Linked DNA regions of Daphnia pulex. The protein of the gene in region 1 purifies or fractionates together with the protein of each later gene. This does not show direct contact. Links are inferred from orthologs where the notes say so. Each region holds a gene or a part of one and is shown in the gene's direction. Other genes may lie near its edges. The genes, in order: splicing factor 3A subunit 3-like, small nuclear ribonucleoprotein Sm D2, splicing factor 45-like, splicing factor 3B subunit 6-like and U1 small nuclear ribonucleoprotein 70 kDa-like.

Region 1 (3,927 bases):
ACAAAATCTAAAGTACACAGATGGTCAGCATGTGGGCACATAGCTAGAGTGATGGGATTCTATATGTATATGTGAGTTGTCGAAAGGCCAGAGTGACTTCCCAACACATCCTGTCCATTTGGCAGGGTGCCGTCACAGTTTAGCGAATGCATCAGGGTTGATCGAAAACCAAGACATTCCTTTTGAAATGTCAAGAGGAGAAAAAATAAATTACGGTTGAATGGAAAGAATACAAGGAAGGAATGGTGATGTCATGGCTGGCCCGTACATTATTTCCAAACCCAGAGAGATGAGCATTCATTCAGACACCTGTATTTCAACATGAGCCTTGAGTGTCATTGATAGGGAAAGGATGAAAATAAGGGAGGGGGGAATGCTTAGGGCAAACACTCGAGTCAAGAGGCCGAATCGTTTTTCGATTTTTCACGATTCCCAATGGCGAACACACCAAACACAACTCAAGAAACACACACACACACCACGCCTATTGTTTGAACGACGGCCACCTGATAAACAAACATCAAGTTCTTTTCGGTTTGGATGTGTGGATATACACTAAAAAATGTTAATCAGATTAAATGTAAAAGAATAAAACAGAAATAAGTACTGTTGCGTATACGTGAAAACCACTCTCTCGGGTGACAGCCACTTATAACGCACTGAATCGGCGGCGGCTCTCGACCGTTGTTGGCCCTCAGTATACCTCCCCTCTTCGCTCTTCTGCAATATGGCTACCAATAGCTTAGCTCAGCTTTTTTTTCTTTTTTCTTTTTATTTCGATTTTCAAAGACTTCGCTCCATCCCTCTGGCGACACTAGGAAACATTACCGTCCTGAGTCCTGACAGCAAAAAAATGCTCACATTTTCTTGGAATGCAATGAATGAAATTGGTTTTTAATGATTAGGAATAAATTAAAATTTTTAATTAAGCTAGAAAATTTATTAAGCTGTGTATATTGAGAAGGTAAATGAATCAAAATTTAATTTTAAGGGGTTTACACTTTACAGTCTTGTAAACATGAAATGAGTAACAAATCATCAAATTTAAATTTAGACAATATATTCTTTTATTTTAACGAATTGTACCATTTTAATAATTAAAAACATTATAATTAAAAAAGTGAAAATAGTTTTTGCAAAAAATCGATAGAATACTTTAGTTCTTACAACGGCCACCAGTTTGTTTTCCAAGCCCAAGCATTGTGATTTTTGCTCGTTTATTGCCGGCTTGTTTAAATTTTTTTATTTTATCATACAATTCAATTCATTAAAACCAATGGAGACTTTGCTAGAGCAGCAGAGGAGATATCATGAAGAAAAAGAGCGTATCATCGACTCCATGGTCAAGGAAACAATCTTCAAAAAGACCACTCAAAGGGAGATAATCAACTCGGAACACCGTCAGAAAATTTTGCTTGACGTATGTAAACTTTGGCTCATACAATTGAACAAACAACTCTTAATGTCGTATTTTGATAACTGTAGAGGTATATGGAGAGTACAAGAGTTTTGAAAGAGATCTATGAAGACAAGGACGGACAGCGCAAAGAGGAGGTGGCACTGCTCTCTGGACCAAATGAATTTGTGGAATTTTACAACAGACTAAAACAGATCAAGGAATTTTACAAAAAACATCCAAATGAGGTATAAAACACATTCATTTTCTTTAAGTGTCATTCAATAGCAGTTGGTTTTGTTTCACAGATTGCTGTACCAATGTCCATGGAATTTGATGAGTTTGCCAAACAGAGAGAGAGTGGAGCTGACGAAACAAATAGTAGGTTATATCTGACAGAAAGCACAGTCATATAAAGCTAATGTAATTTGATTTTCAGATTTGGTTGACTTTACCGATGAGGAGGGCTATGGCAAATATTTGGATCTTCATGAAAGCTATGTGAAATACACAAATTTAAAAGGAATTCAGGTCAGTTTATAGATTGAAACAAGAAACAAATCGAAAAAAATTAACACAGTTATATTTCTTACAGAAAATTGACTACATTAGCTACCTTAATATGTTTGACCGTCTCTTTGATATTCCCCGGGAGAAGAAGAACGCTGAATACAGAAACTATCTACAAGCATTGGTGGATTATTTAGTCGATTATGTTGCTCGAGTAAAACCAGTCATGGACCTTGACAACTTGTTTCATGAAATCGAACAAGATTTCGAAAAGGACTTTGTAGCGGGTACATTTCCTGGATGGCCGGTAAGTCTATTTACGACTGTTTCTATTTTCTGTCCAACCTAACTAACGCTGGCAAATTTATAGAAAGAAACAACCGGAAGTGCTTTGGCAAACGCAGGTGCGGCGTTGGATATTTCAGCCTTTTCATCTTGTGAGGAATTGGCATCTCTAGGACTGGATCGTTTGAAATCAGCATTGATAGCTTTGGGTCTCAAGTGCGGTGGAACACTCGAAGACCGTGCCAAAAGACTCTTCAGTACAAAAGGTCTGTCGGTAGATGAAATTGACAAATCTCTCTTCGCCAAAGGCCAGGGTAAAAATCGAGGTGCTACCGAACAAGATAAGGAAGCCGAAAAACAAAAGAAGATTGCCCTTCTGGAGGCTCAAGTTTATAAGTAATTCCATTTAAATTATTGAATGAAATTGAATGAATAATTAATTGTGAATAATTCATAGACTGATTGAGATCTTGTCTGAACCACGGCATGCTACCAAAGAGAACGTGGAACGTAAACAGGCCCGAACAGATGGGGAACGAGAGGAGGAAGAAGAAGACGTTGTCGAGGTATAACTTAATTACTTTGACATATTTCCTTAAACTTTAAATTCTCAACTGCCATTTTCAGGTCCCCGAGGATGAAGATGAAGACGATGACGTCCCTTACAATCCCAAGAATTTACCACTAGGTTGGGATGGAAAGGTATAAATGAACCAACATTAATAATTGTGTAACTTTGTTCTAATCTTATCGATTCATCTCTTATCCAGCCCATTCCATATTGGCTTTACAAATTGCACGGCTTGAACATCAGCTACAATTGCGAGATTTGCGGCAATTACACGTACAAAGGTCCAAAGGCGTTTCAACGTCATTTTGCCGAATGGCGTCACGCTCACGGCATGCGGTGTCTGGGTATTCCCAACACGGCCCACTTTGCTAACGTAACACGAATCGAAGATGCAATTTCACGTAAGCTTTCAGTTTATTTTTGTTTTTCCTGTCCCCTACCGATTAATAATAAAATTCTAATTGAAACTTCAGTTTGGACAAAATTGAGAAGCCAGAAAACGTCAGAACGTTTCGTCGCCGATCACGAGGAAGAGTACGAGGACTCGATGGGCAACGTCATCCCCAAGAAAACGTACGAAGATTTGCGTCGACAGGGTCTCTTGTAAAGAAACATGACTGGAAAAATAAATCTTATAACTTCGTGCGCGGTTATATTTTTATTCCATCACATTTGCACAGAGGAAGCGCAAGCTCCTTGGTTGTTGTCGAGTGTCACTGTAATATTGGTAATCTTAATCTATGTTTCGATTTATCACTTTGTTGTCAACTTGTATTACTGAATCATCTTCCCATCACAAAACTTTGCTCAGATGGAGTTTTTCGTCATTCGTCTCAATTCCCAGCTCATCGACATGTCGAGAAAAAGAATATGGATTAATGCTTATGTGTCACTGATTTCCGTCGATATCCTCATCGATCAGCTACTTTTAGTATACTTGCATTTTAACACACTTAAAGTATATACCACCTTACTATAGGTATGTAATCTTAATCATATTCGAATTTTAAACAGTCATCTTATAACAAATATTTAAAACCTCTGAGCAATCACGATATTGAAAAGGCACCCCAAGCTTTAATCACTTGCTTATAATTGAATTTGTCTTTAATTGATAACATCTGTATTTGAAATATCGAAATGGCTGTGTGACTATGTGTAAACG
Region 2 (2,822 bases), on another chromosome or scaffold:
GGAAGAATTCCACACGTATACAGCAAACACATTTCTAACGACATGACAATATCAACGTTACTCACCATTTTGGACTAAGAAAAAAGTCTAGAAAAATTTCACGCAAAGCTCAAAGACGCCTAAACTGAAAGATCAACCCGAATGACTGCGGGATGAGACGGCACTGGGGGGAGTGAGTGGTGCGAGTGAGAGAGAGAGAGAGAAAATGCCCTCGATAAGATTTTACTCGTGGCGCGGCGAAAGAAGAGGGGAAACTCAGAGTAGACTTCTCTACACCGGCCGGGACCTCGCACTGCAAAATGGCGGCTGTTCCCCAAACTTGAGAAAACTTGGCGCTACCCAGTCCACACCCAGAAAAGCGCGTCATCTGGGGGTGGAATACAGCGCCGTCAAACGATGCCTATTTCGAACCATATTACAAACTTCACTAATTTATCACAAATAAAACATATAATGATAGGCGCATCATTTATCATTTTAAAAATAATTTGTATGACTCTTATTCTGTTTGCTGTTATGTAAAATCTCAAATGTCGTTAAATGAATTCGGGTAACCGCCAGGGGTCTCTGCTTGCTTAGCGATTGAAGGATGATGCCGATTGTAGAGAATTTTGTGTGTACTGGTTGCACATTCTCTGATTGGTTGTCCATATCGGGCGCTTGTTAACCCGAAAAAGGGGAGCCCAAACCACAAACCTGGAGAGAGTTACGAAAAGTAACTTTTTCTGTAAAATCCTCTACTCGCAGATTTTTCTGCTTGAGCAAAAAGTTGCCGACTCTAAATGATCATTCCGACTTCCTAATAAATGGTGTGCATCTCGCATGAGTGTTTTAACGAAAAAAAAAAATTATTGGGCCAGTTGCACACTTATTCTTTCATTCAGTTTCTCGGGGAGGATGACCTTTTATGGGCAGACATCGATGACTCACATTTTTACTTCCCCTCCCTCTAATCTGCCCTCCCCTCCCCTATGTATTAAAAATCTGAAACTCTCGGGACCGGTGTCGACAACTTTCTCTGTTTCTATAATTTAGACCAAAAAGTTTCAATTGCCATAGATCGCCTTCGCACAATGAACAGCCGATAACAGCGTGATTCGAAAGTTTTCGCCGTTTCAGGATGACTTATCAACAACGCTGGAAAGCGTTCTCCATTGGGGACCATGAGAAAGAATAGTCTGTGCATACGGGGGGAATATGTCCATATATGGCATTAGACAAGCTATGCTACATAACATAACATCTGTCGGCTGACAATTGTCAACCGCTTCGGTTTTCTCTTGACTCTACTTTCTGAGGTTTGTATTTCCTTTCCTCTCGACTAAAACGAATTCCAGTACAGAGTCCCAGACGTCTGACGTCTGGGATTGTAAATGTTTTTCTTGGCAAATTTCATTCTTTTCTTTTCACAACAATTATTAGAAATTGAAACGTGTCTCTTAAAAATGTAAGTCAACATTAAAAAACAATTTTTGGCAATTAAATCGCAAATAAGACATAAAATAGCATCAACCGTCTAATGCTAATTAATACAATATGACAACGCAGCATGTACGTTTTGTTTACGAAAAACAAGTGAATAACGGTTTGAAAAGTTAAACGAAGCCGGGCTCAAAAATATTCCAAAGAATATTTCTCTATCCGTTTACATCCTTCTATTTATCATGGCGTAAGTAAAGCTTAAGTTCAATTTCAAAATAGAAAATTTTTAAATCTATATTTTCAGCTAGTTACAGTGTTCCGTGTCTGCAGATTTTTCTCTACTTGACAGTTTCGTATGAGCACTAAATAATAAATGTTTCTTTCCATAGGGCTGTTGCAAATAAACCCAAGTCGGAGATGACACCGGAGGAATTGGCCAAACGGGAAGAAGAAGAATTCAACACTGGACCACTTTCAGTTTTGACTCAGAGTGTAAAAAACAACACTCAGGTCTTGATCAACTGCCGTAACAACAAAAAGCTACTGGGACGTGTTAAAGCTTTTGACCGTCACTGCAATATGGTTCTAGAAAATGTCAAGGAAATGTGGACTGAAGTTCCCAGAACAGGGAAAGGAAAGAAGAAGGTAATTTTCACTATTTCTGCATTCATTCATTCATCTATCAACAGTGACAGTTGTATATTTATTTTATAGAGCAAACCAGTCAACAAGGACCGTTTTATCTCCAAAATGTTCCTACGTGGAGATTCTGTAATATTAGTATTAAGAAATCCTTTGGCTGGTACTCCTGGAGCAAAATAATTGTATGTGTTTATCTCTCACTTTTGTATGAAATAAAAAAATCGAACAGCGGAAAATGTGTTTTATTATCTCGTTTTATTCCAATGTTGAAAGAAAAAGTTACAAAATCAAACTTAATCTTTTTCGGCAATTGCAGTCAGATGCTTATCGATGTCAGTTTCCGACAGAATTCTATAACAATCAGATCAGTCACATTAATTTCCTAAACTTAAATATTTTGCGCATTTTCTTACCTAAATCCTGGTTGATCCTTAGAAACAACTCCAATTTCAATATCAGATGGCTTGAAATCAGCAGTTAGGATATGAGACAGAGTTGTAATAGCAAGCTGGATAACTTCATCATGTGTGTAGTTTTGTTTCTTTTTGTATTTCTTCTCAAGATACGACGATGCCTCGGTTTGTTTAACACCCACTGAAGTAGCACGATAACCACAGTAATATCCTTGAAAAAAAAGTAAAACAGCAATAAAGCATACAATTTGAGAACTTTACACCCTATTTTAGATATATACCTGCTGGGTCAGCTTTGTATACAGCAGGCCCCAATTCTTCATCATATGCAATGACAATCATACC
Region 3 (3,796 bases), on another chromosome or scaffold:
CTCTGCTCGCTCCATACCGTTCTCTGGGAAGGCACTAAATGGCAAGACGTGGGGATGCACCAGCTAGTGTCGCACACGGATGTCAAGAAAATGTATCGTAAGGCTTGCTTGGCAGTGCATCCAGACAAACAGGTTGGTAAAATTTATCACGTCATTTACATTTAGTAAGAAAAGTTGCCTTTAATTCGAATGTATTATCACACAGTCTGGAACTGACAACGAGAAAATAGCAAAAATGATTTTTATGGAACTGAACGACGCCTGGTCTGAATTTGAAAACGACGTAACACAGCAAAATATGTTTCGATAACAGATACATTCCTCCATTCTTCATAGTTTACGAGCGTTGATTGTTCTATTTACGTGTTTATAATTGTCTAGCATTGGGTTAACTCATACGAAACGCCCATGATCTAGTCGTAACTCGGAATCGATGTCTCTCCCTACCGTCCCAAGATTTCCTTTCAAATTCAGCTACAATAGCTTACATCACGTTTTTAGAACTTTTCCTCAGCCGCTTTTCTTCTTTCTTTTCCTTCTCCGTGATTTTAATTGTTCTCTTTCTGTTTCTTCTACGGAGAAGTCGTCTCGTTTTCTCTAACGAAGGCGGTAATCTCCGCCCGGCTTAAGTTTAATAGCTACCGGTTTTCAAGAAGTAATACACGTGTCTGCATCATTATTAATGATTCTTAAAAGAAGCGTTAAAGATTCGGTTAAATTCAGTTAATTTAAAAATAGTATTAAAATAATTATTGTTCGGTGCTACAGAAAGTTCAGATGCAAGATGTAGCCACGTTGAGTTTTATTGCAGAAAAACAGTGACTTCTCACAAACCAATTGTTGGAATTTGCGATATAAATAACTTTATTCTTTCTCGTCACTGATTCTTCGTCACAGACACCTCTTATAACAAGTCCGTCCGCTCGATAATATAGATACGCATACAATTAACGGCACACAACTGTGGCGACATTTGGAGGTGTCGTAACTCGTAAAAGGGCCGACCCAAAAATATTCCTGTCCCAAAACAATCAAAAATCAACGATATGCGCAAGGAGGCAATTTTTTGGGAGAAGCTCCGTATTTTCTATTCCGTATCCGAAAAGCAAGGTGTTTAATTGACAAAAAAACAATTCAATTATTTATAAGTAGAAACAGGGTAGTATCGCTGTATCTGTAGTGCCTGGCCACCCCTGGCCACCCCTGGGCCCTGGCCCTGCTGGGCCCTGGCATGCCCCTGCCCCCTGGTTCCTCACTGCAGATTTAGGTAGCTGTTTAGTAGTCACCTTCACCTTTCATGAGATGAATACATCAAAACATAAAAAAATACAGTACAATTTGCATTCGTCGTCTATTTTTATTTCTTGTGTATGTTACTGCGAAGGCGTCCTGAGCTCTGTTTAAAAACGATTTGAACGACAACTAATTCAACGGATATAAGAAATTACTTTGCTGTGAAAATGTCTCTTTACGATGATATCGACGAAAATAAAGCTAAATCTGTCACCGGATGGTCGTCAGGAATCAAGCTTTTACATTCGCAGATGCACTTAAAGAAAGCTATGATTACACAGGTATCCTACAATTTACATTTCATTTGTTACTCATAGATTATGAAGAAAGATTTGTTTTTCCTAGCCAAAACGTGAAGGTATCCGAAGAGCTATCCATCCTGTAATACCACCCTGCCTCACAGCTACTGAATCACAGATAAAAACTGAACCTGAAATGACCAAAAATCTGATTCATCAGACACCCCAACTCTTGACAACTATTGTTCCTAAACAAGAGAGATCCTCACTCTTTGCTGAATTGGAATGGGACCCAAATCTAGAGTATGATCCACTGCATCCTACTGACTATGACAAAATCATTAGGGGTACACAGCACCTTTTATAGAAAATGAAAAATCTGAATACAATAATTTTTGTTTTTTTTTTTGTTTTTTGTTTAGAGAGAAAGGAACGACGAGGGATTGAAATTGAAATAGAAGAAGCTGAAAAGAAAAGGAAGCCTAGGGATGATCGAGATATTAAAACCAGAGACAGGTATATAATGGGACTGGGAGCTGCCTAATAAATATGGTGATGATAGAAACTGATTACATAACCATTTCATGTTTTAGGTCCTCATCTGCTGTAGGATCAGGTTTTGCTGGACGTTTACATGATGAGGAAGAGGAACCAATGGTGAAGAAGTCCTCTACTTCTGGTGGAGTTGCCATTGCCCCACCTCCATCATTACAAGACAACTCATCGCCATCTCATCCTTCTCTCTCCTCTACTGGAAGTGGGGTTGGAGCTCTTGGTGTTGCTGCTAAGATCATGGCAAAATATGGATTCAAAGAAGGTCAGGGACTTGGACGACAACAGCAAGGTATTGCAGCTGCCTTACAAGTGGAAAAAACAAGCAAGCGAGGTGGACGTATTATCAATGAAAAAGAAATTATGCCTCCTCCGCCACCTGTTGTGTCGCCAACAGCTGCTCCCAAAGCGGAATTAACGATTGCTGATATCATGAAGAATCCTTCAAAAGTGATTTATCTGAGGGTAATGTCATAGGTCAATCATTTTCACGGTCCTCATTTCAAATTCTGTTGTTTGTTTGTTTCCCCTTTCATTAGAATATGGTTGGCCCTGGTGAAGTGGATTCTGATTTGGAACCCGAAGTACGCGAGGAATGTCAGACAAAATACGGGGATGTGAATAAAGTTGTTATTTTCGAGGTACCTAACGCCGAGGAAGAGGAAGCTGTACGGATTTTTGTTGAATTTAAACGAATGGAAGCTGCCATCAAAGGTAATTAACTACAGTTGAACAATAACACAGGTCTGTTAAAAATTGTTAACTGTCGTTTCTTTTTGTAGCCGTAATTGATCTCAACGGCCGATTCTTTGCTGGTCGGCAGGTGAAAGCCGGATTCTATGATGTGGAAAGATTTCTCAAGATGGAGCTGAATGATTGAACACGTATTGAAAAATAAATTTTACGAATCGAAAGTAATTGAATTTAATTACATGGTATGGCGTTGTTCCCAAAAGTTGGAAGCATTTGACCTTTAGGACGAAAAACCTTTCTCTCGTTCTAGGAAATAAGATTGATTCCTTAAAAGGGATGAAGAGAGATGAATTTAAACTACTACGAAGCAAAACAAATTCTAACTTCACAAGCTAGCGTGTCCTCGCAATATCACACCAGAACAAATAATTGAATTGCACAAAAATGTGTTGATCAAGCAAGGTTCTACATTCAAAGTGTAAAATAGATTTACTTTACTTTGATTTTCACGACTACATTCATTTTTCATCAAAAGGTAGATTCTACTTTTTAAAATTTGAGTTGTCAAGCGTAGCTGCAAATCAGTAATAGACTTCTAGTGGATGCTTAGAATTTAGTAATAAAAAAAGTATAGATTTGAATTCGGAAACTTGGCGGTAGGTTTCCATATATATATCCCGTTTCCAAATCATAAAAAATTTCATGAAAATTGGTTCTTTTCTTAAGTGTTTTTTAAGTGACATTCAGTAGGTTAAACCACTTTCATATAAAAATGAGGTTAATATTTTATAGGGGACGATCTATCGACGTTAACGTATTTTTTAAATAGTATAATCCGGTTTCCAAGAACCATGAGTATATGTAGTTCTTCGAAATAGCTACGCAAAGTGGGAACCTCTTCTTGCCTCAAAATTCCTATGATATCATAATGTTGAAAGAATTCTTCGTGAATCGTTCATGTCTCAACATGATCGAGAACAAGGTCAGCTGTCATTGCCATTATTATTGACCTCATATTT
Region 4 (2,716 bases), on another chromosome or scaffold:
TTGGTTTTCTATGCGTTGTTTTACCTGGTACCGGTGACTCGTTTGAAATTATTTGGGCCATACACAGCAAGTATACTCACACCTGAACCAATATTTACTAGCTAGAAAATAAAATCAGATGAAAGTAACAACAACAGAATTAAAGTCATTTGTTTGTTAATAAAGTTTTTAAATGATGGAATTACCAAAAACGGATATGGGTTCTTGAAGTCATATGTTTTTTTTACGCACTTAGTTTCGTCAGTTGGATTTTCCCAATAATAAACCTCGGGACGATGAATTTCTTCAATGTACAAGAGCCCACCGATAAGGGATTCCAGTTCGTCCGATTTATGTAGATTTAAATTAACAGCCTACAGACAACCGTATAACAAGATAAGAAAAAAGAAAAAGAAATCAAAGCTGCATAAAGTGTACAAACCCTTAAAAAGTCTTTTTCAAACTTGTATGCACCTCCACCTGTGGCACAAATGGTTGTGGACAGAGAGGCAAATCCTTTAGATTTTGCTAGCTGCAGAAATTGCTCCATTTCAGAGGTAGGAAATCTGATGAAATGTAATGTTCCTACTCTGTTTCCCATTGGAATTGAACTCATCTGAAATTTGAAAATTATACTGAAATCAATTTCTGATAAAATAGGAAAGATTAGAAGATGTAAACACCTGCAGATGAATGTCTCGGTGCCCTGTCTCTCCATAAGCATTGTTACTAGTGAGATACTTTTGAATGTTGTGTAAGGTTTCAATTTCTGACGAACTTACATTCTCTTCCTCAGGAGCAATGTCAGTTGGTTCAAAATACACTAATTTAACTAAAGTTCCACCTATATCCATTCCAAACCAGGGCATGCTAGCTGTAGAATAAAAATAATTGTTTATTATCACAACTAATTGATTAAAAATAACAATACTTACGAGAATGAACAACTGTGGAACTTGAATCATGGCCATTTGTTACCCTGTTTTCTACACTATCCATTGTGCGACCATATTGTGTTTCGTGATCAGAAGACATCTGTTAATGTGCAGAATTTCAATGTGCTTTCTTTAGTTATATCCCAGCAATTCTTTATTGTATGCACAGCACCGGATGAAGCTTAAAAATCCCTTTATTTAATTGATATCGGAAGTAGCGAATCAGTTCAGTTTACGCGACTCGAATAGTGGCCATCTGCATCATATCTTGATATTCGAACCAATAGAAAAAGGAATTCGGGTCGTACGATGTGGAAACTTTTCCCCTTTCCTTTTCTCTTATTTGAGTATGCTATTCCTCATTTGACACAAATTCGTCTGCTAAAACATCAGCATTGCCAAAATATTAAAATGTGAAGAGTAAATTGAGCTAGGAAAAGATTTTTATGAGATATATATACATTTTTTTAGTATTTAATTTGAATCAAATTTTCTAGTGCATAAAACCAATTAATTGAATTACACGAAAATAATGTTTTGTTTATTCTGTCAGCTCAGAATCGTCGTCTGCTATGCAGCCATTTTGAATACCAAGCGGCGTTCTTATTGTCAAGTTCACGAGCACAGTTTTGAATTGTATTGATCAGTGATTTCGTTGTTTTAACTGAATTTTACTCCTAACAATGGCGATGGCAATGCAGAAAAAGCTAAACGTATGCAATCATGTGTTAATTTTTTTTTATCATTAGTAGTTTATTATATTGAGTCAAGATTGTTGTGCATCAAGATTTCCATGTGAGCATTTCTTAAATATTTTTATTTTTCAGGTGAGGTTACCTCCTGAAGTAAACAGAATCCTATATGTCCGAAATCTTCCCTATAAAATTACATCAGAAGAAATGTATGATATCTTTGGAAAATACGGAGCTATTCGGCAAATCAGAGTGTAAGTAGAAATTGATAATATATGTTAGCATCAATTGTAACTCATTTGATTTGATAGAGGGAACACTCCAGAAACCAGAGGAACAGCTTTTGTGGTCTATGAAGACATTTTTGATGCAAAAAATGCTTGTGATCATCTTTCTGGTTTTAATGTCTGCAATCGTTACCTTGTAGTACTCTATTATCAACCTACAAAGGCCTTCAAAAAGGTTGACACAGACAAGAAGAAAGAAGAGATAGAAAGCATGAAGGCTAAATTTGGATTGAATGATGAATAACATGTAAATTGACCTCATTTCTCATTGTACAATTTGGTATAATAAAAAAACCATTTTCACTATGTGAATTGTAACCAGTATTGACCCTTTTCCAACCAGTGTAATTGTGAGGTATTCCATTGTAATGGAATATCAAATATGATTTGCACGAGTTATTACAACTCAAAAATGTTTTTTCTAAAAAGAATATTCACGAAATATCCGGCTTTCAAGAATAACAGATTTGTAGGCACAGTAAACAGACAAACAATTGCACTGCAGCTACTGAACACAAAATTATTTTCAAGCCAGTTTTACTGGGACTTCATGGAGACCAATTTTCGACTTCTGTGCTTTGATTCGCTCCGGTGAGATGTATATTCAAACCAGATAATGTTAGGGATTAATGTTTGATCTCTCACCAATAGCCATTCACACACTCTCCTAAGAAATAACAATGAATATTGCATGTTATCGGCATGGAAACACTTTTGAGGAAAACTAACCATGATGCAACAGTTGGGAACCACGGCGTTAGAGCGAATTGCGTAAATAAGAACCACGAAACTGCTAAAACAGATCCAAGTAATCCCCCTACTA
Region 5 (3,992 bases), on another chromosome or scaffold:
ATCCAAATTATTCAGTTTAGGAGGTTTTCCCATCTAGGTATCTCGGGCAATCTGCCTTAGTAGAACTATGGAAACATGTTCACAGATTGTATGGTTCCATTTTTGGGTTTATTTTTGTGGGCGGACCGGCGGAGTGCTTGCGGTCACGTGATGATGGAAACTCGATTCAGAATCATGTCGTGTGTATCAGACTTTGCCGCGTTTTGTTTGTTTATTTTTTTGCATGTGCTAACGATAAAAAGGCCTATCCTTAAGCTGAGTTAAGCATGAAGGACGAAACAGTATGAGTTTTTTGGCGCAAAAAATTTAGCTAACTAAAGTAAAATTTTGTTATGGTCTTAAAGTAGAGAGCTAGAGACACCGTCTCAACTTTCAGACGATAAATACATCAAGATTAAAGACATTCCTAATCCTAAGAAACCATTAATTTCAATTAATTCAATAATTGAATTCTACGCCATCAAGAGGCCAAATAATATCGAACAGTTTTTTTTTACTTTGTTTTGGTTTGTCTGCAAGTAGAAGTTGAAATCCAAGCTGATTTTTGAAAACCACAATAACATTAACCGAACTTAACCGCATCAGCAATGTATTTAAGAAAAGGCCGAAAAGGCTTTGTAAGAAAGAAAGGAACTAATTTATTTATTTACCAATATTTGGGACTTGGATGTAATTGAAAGATGCTGTACAACTTGAATCTTTTGAGATGCAGTAATGAAATAAATCTTACCGTATAAAATATGTTTACCATATATTAAACCTTGTCAAAAATGCACGTAGAAATTCCCCCTTAGTCTCATTTGAAACCTAATTATGTCTATTTTTATGTAGTATTTATAGTTTTTTTTCCTTAAAGAGCATTAATTTAAATGTTATAAGTTACCTACTACCTACTTACTAGACTCCACTTTCAAGAAATTTAATGAAAAATATCAGCGCCAAACCCATTAAAATCCAATAAGCAATAAGCAACAAGCAAACTAAAGGGCCGGGGGTCTAGTATTACGATTATAATATTTAAAACAATATAAAAAGTAAAAACTGATACAAATTGGTTGGGGCCAAAACGCTGTTTTTGACTGTAGTGACTATTTACTTTTATATATGTCTGATTCTGATCTGGTATTGATTCGTCTGCTTTTTTAAATTTAGTTTTATTTCTAGTTGCCAAATATATATTTTGTTGCTAGCCTATTTACGGCTCAAAAAAAATTTATGAAATTGGTCAGATAAATTAGAAATTACAAAATCCCGCTGTTTTTCCTAAAATCTCAATCCCATCTCATCCCACAATACCCGTTTTTTAAAACGGGTATTTTCAATTTTAAAAACTTGAAAATTTCAAAAGTGGGAAAATCCCACCAAAGACCAAAGTGGCAGCCCTGCCGAGCAATAGATAGACAGTAATGGACTAATGGCCGACAGCTAAGACGCTCGACCGAGAAGCTTTTTGAAAGGTCCATGCTCATTGAAATATTTGTGAAATGACGCAGTTTTTGCCTCCAAATCTTTTGGCTCTTTTTGCGCCACGCGATCCCCCTCCATTTTTACCACCACCTGATAAATTGACTCATGAAAAAAAAAGAACGCCATACATTGGTATAGCGCAGTATACAAATCTGTTTGAGGTTAGTATTTGATTCCATTAAAAATTAAAAATTGATATAGTAGTCAAGGTAAGTATTGCAATTTGATCTAATTTGATTGATTTGGGAAGTAATGTATGTCTTAATTTACTAATGCACGGGTCCCAATCCCAATTTATGGAACAGTTTTGGTTCATTTATTCATTCTCCTCTAGATGTGTCGATGAGAATCCCAAGTTTTCATGTGTGACATGTGAGATGCAAAATATTTTGTGAAAATGTTGTGAAAGTGTCTTAATTTTCTGGAAGCACAGTGTTTCCAGCTGAGCCTTTTATCAGGTTGACAATTTAATGTTAGCATATGTCTGAGGGGTGTAAAGTAGTCATTGTTTCACAAAGTTTTAAATGAGAGATGTGGAACGAAACATTGCATACTAGAAGCATTCTGATGAACTAAGTACTGAGCTTTCAAACATAACGAAATTTTTAATATCATTTTATATTCTTAACAGGATCCTAAAGATACACCCCCTCCTACGCGAGCAGAAACACGGGATGAACGGCGCGAAAGAAAACGTCGCGAAAAGGCAGAACAAGTTGCCTATAAACTTGAACAGGAAATTGCAATGTGTAAGTTCTAATTTTTGGTGTGTTTCTACAATTTCTTTTATCAATTTCCCTTTTCTCTGGCATTCATAGGGGATCCACACAGTAATGGTGTTTCTACCATGGACCCCTTCAAAACGCTGTTCGTTGCTCGCATTGTAAGTGTCAATACTCATACTATAATTTTTTTTTCTCATCACTTTTATTTTATTTCGAGCTTAATGAATAATGAGTGCTAAGTTATAACTAGTAATCCGCATGAATGAAACGATAATTCTTGAAACATTTTCTCTCAGAATTTTGATACTTCGGAATCTAAATTGCGCAGGGAGTTTGAAGTGTACGGAGTTGTTCGGAAGGTAACTTACAAGCACCATGTGAAATTTAATCACACGCTTACCACGCTTTTTAATGTTACAGATTGTGTTGGTGCATGACAAGAGGACTAGTAAGCCACGCGGTTATGCATTCATCGAGTATGAACATGAGCGAGACATGCATTGTAAGTATTTCTTTTCTATTATACCTAAGTCGTGTGGTAACTGAGGGTAGTGGGCTAATTAGTAAGGCCTGCGATAGCTTTCACTGTTCAATTAATCGTCGCACCACCAATTTGTATGATGATGAAAGGGGTGGGGGTGAGGTGGGGAAAATCTGTGATTGATTTGTACCTTAAAGTTTTCCTATATTTCATTTTGTCGTTTCCGGTCACAGTCGCGGCCTCCGACTATTTGGACGGTCATGTGGCCTTTGTCGCTTTTTGTCTCTTGATGCTAGGTTTGTATGGTCAATTGGTAAGGTTTCGTTTGGTTAAAGTTAAACCAAAATCCCTTTGAAATCGACTGCAGGTTCAAATTAGCTTCAAAGAAAGTATCTTTTCGTTTTCACCCTCCCTTCCCCTTGATGGTAGTAAGTATCCTGGTAAGTCGGTTACTAGGCTTTCTAGCGCCACTAAAAATTAGGGCCATTTCAATTCGATCAGATTCTTCGAGTGCTGCTGCGCGTTAAGAGGATTCACAGGTAAAGATGGGGACAGCTTGAAGAGGGAATGGATCTGCTTCTGTGATTGGCAACATTTGATCGCTTATTAATAGATCTGGATGTTACGTGAACATAGCCGTAATCTGGTAAACGGCCGTGGCGTTGGTTTTTTATGCATTTTCCAAGTGTTATGATTGGTCATACTTGAAATCATTGCATTTTTCGTTATTTGTTAATTCACGGTAAATATTTTTCGAAATTGCTGGGAGGGGTAGGTAATGGAGATCCTTCGGTAGGTGATATTAGGTTTGTGATACTAATTGTTGGAACTCTCCTTCTCCATGTTATACACGCTGAATTTTTCGTCTTCTCTGCCTGCTGTACTACCCGTATTTACGATTTGTTCGTTTTGCCGACGGCGCCGAAATACTGGTTTGTTGTTTTAAAATACCAGCTGCGTACAAACACGCCGACGGAAAGAAAATAGACGGCCGCAGAGTTCTTGTAGACGTAGAAAGGGCAAGGACTGTCAAAGGTAATTATTTTAATTAAATAAGTTTTATGTTTATAGTTTGCTGCCCTTTTTTTCGAAGGCAAATTTTAAAATTTGTTTTGAAAATCCATAGGTTTTTTATTTTGATTAATCAGTGTAAATAAGTGCACAAAATTTTTTTCTTCTTGTTAGATATTATAATCATGCCGCCATGGTTTCTAAGTACCTAAACTATTGCATTCCAGGTTGGCTTCCTCGCCGTTTGGGTGGAGGCTTGGGTGGGACTCGTCGTGGAGGACCAGATGTAAACGTAAAACATTCAGGAC

Evidence for each region.
Region 2: the proteins of splicing factor 3A subunit 3-like (region 1) and small nuclear ribonucleoprotein Sm D2 fractionate together in Homo sapiens (co-fractionation; 3 studies listed by BioGRID and IntAct, with this or other methods). This does not show direct contact. The link is inferred for Daphnia pulex from reciprocal best matches to the Homo sapiens genes SF3A3 and SNRPD2.
Region 3: the proteins of splicing factor 3A subunit 3-like (region 1) and splicing factor 45-like purify together in Homo sapiens (affinity purification with mass spectrometry; 4 studies listed by BioGRID and IntAct, counting the BioPlex papers as one, with this or other methods). This does not show direct contact. The link is inferred for Daphnia pulex from reciprocal best matches to the Homo sapiens genes SF3A3 and RBM17.
Region 4: the proteins of splicing factor 3A subunit 3-like (region 1) and splicing factor 3B subunit 6-like purify together in Homo sapiens (affinity purification with mass spectrometry; 3 studies listed by BioGRID and IntAct, with this or other methods). This does not show direct contact. The link is inferred for Daphnia pulex from reciprocal best matches to the Homo sapiens genes SF3A3 and SF3B6.
Region 5: the proteins of splicing factor 3A subunit 3-like (region 1) and U1 small nuclear ribonucleoprotein 70 kDa-like fractionate together in Homo sapiens (co-fractionation; 3 studies listed by BioGRID). This does not show direct contact. The link is inferred for Daphnia pulex from reciprocal best matches to the Homo sapiens genes SF3A3 and SNRNP70.

Annotation. Positions count from the first base shown.
Region 1 is NC_060028.1:1,228,156-1,232,082, forward strand, and holds splicing factor 3A subunit 3-like, read left to right. Parts: upstream 1-1,163; 5' UTR 1,164-1,276; coding exon 1,277-1,420; intron 1,421-1,485; coding exon 1,486-1,644; intron 1,645-1,704; coding exon 1,705-1,777; intron 1,778-1,835; coding exon 1,836-1,927; intron 1,928-1,991; coding exon 1,992-2,213; intron 2,214-2,276; coding exon 2,277-2,587; intron 2,588-2,648; coding exon 2,649-2,757; intron 2,758-2,818; coding exon 2,819-2,893; intron 2,894-2,961; coding exon 2,962-3,163; intron 3,164-3,235; coding exon 3,236-3,369; 3' UTR 3,370-3,407; downstream 3,408-3,927. Other genes in the region: moesin/ezrin/radixin homolog 1-like, read right to left, coding at 480-521. UniProt on the Homo sapiens protein: Component of the 17S U2 SnRNP complex of the spliceosome, a large ribonucleoprotein complex that removes introns from transcribed pre-mRNAs.
Region 2 is NC_060018.1:305,182-308,003, forward strand, and holds small nuclear ribonucleoprotein Sm D2, read left to right. Parts: upstream 1-1,276; 5' UTR 1,277-1,447; intron 1,448-1,516; exon of another isoform or gene 1,517-1,548; 5' UTR 1,549-1,664; coding exon 1,665-1,669; intron 1,670-1,811; coding exon 1,812-2,067; intron 2,068-2,136; coding exon 2,137-2,244; 3' UTR 2,245-2,300; downstream 2,301-2,822. Other genes in the region: cofilin/actin-depolymerizing factor homolog, read right to left, coding at 66-68; proteasome subunit alpha type-6-like, read right to left, coding at 2,358-2,415, 2,478-2,688, 2,759-2,821. UniProt on the Homo sapiens protein: Plays a role in pre-mRNA splicing as a core component of the spliceosomal U1, U2, U4 and U5 small nuclear ribonucleoproteins (snRNPs), the building blocks of the spliceosome.
Region 3 is NC_060018.1:8,645,031-8,648,826, forward strand, and holds splicing factor 45-like, read left to right. Parts: upstream 1-1,259; 5' UTR 1,260-1,460; coding exon 1,461-1,574; intron 1,575-1,638; coding exon 1,639-1,879; intron 1,880-1,954; coding exon 1,955-2,048; intron 2,049-2,125; coding exon 2,126-2,549; intron 2,550-2,623; coding exon 2,624-2,798; intron 2,799-2,866; coding exon 2,867-2,964; 3' UTR 2,965-2,998; exon of another isoform or gene 2,999-3,087; 3' UTR 3,088-3,280; downstream 3,281-3,796. Other genes in the region: cyclin-G-associated kinase-like, read left to right, coding at 1-132, 206-310. UniProt on the Homo sapiens protein: Splice factor that binds to the single-stranded 3'AG at the exon/intron border and promotes its utilization in the second catalytic step. Involved in the regulation of alternative splicing and the utilization of cryptic splice sites.
Region 4 is NC_060019.1:12,853,509-12,856,224, reverse strand, and holds splicing factor 3B subunit 6-like, read left to right. Parts: upstream 1-1,467; 5' UTR 1,468-1,597; coding exon 1,598-1,627; intron 1,628-1,741; coding exon 1,742-1,860; intron 1,861-1,917; coding exon 1,918-2,137; 3' UTR 2,138-2,199; downstream 2,200-2,716. Other genes in the region: pantothenate kinase 3-like, read right to left, coding at 25-101, 186-353, 422-595, 663-853, 915-1,014; dolichyldiphosphatase 1-like, read right to left, coding at 2,431-2,560, 2,623-2,716.
Region 5 is NC_060026.1:6,141,064-6,145,055, reverse strand, and holds the start of U1 small nuclear ribonucleoprotein 70 kDa-like, read left to right. Parts: upstream 1-1,192; 5' UTR 1,193-1,484; coding exon 1,485-1,628; intron 1,629-2,098; coding exon 2,099-2,216; intron 2,217-2,285; coding exon 2,286-2,350; intron 2,351-2,488; coding exon 2,489-2,551; intron 2,552-2,612; coding exon 2,613-2,694; intron 2,695-3,627; coding exon 3,628-3,708; intron 3,709-3,911; coding exon 3,912-3,992. UniProt on the Homo sapiens protein: Component of the spliceosomal U1 snRNP, which is essential for recognition of the pre-mRNA 5' splice-site and the subsequent assembly of the spliceosome. SNRNP70 binds to the loop I region of U1-snRNA.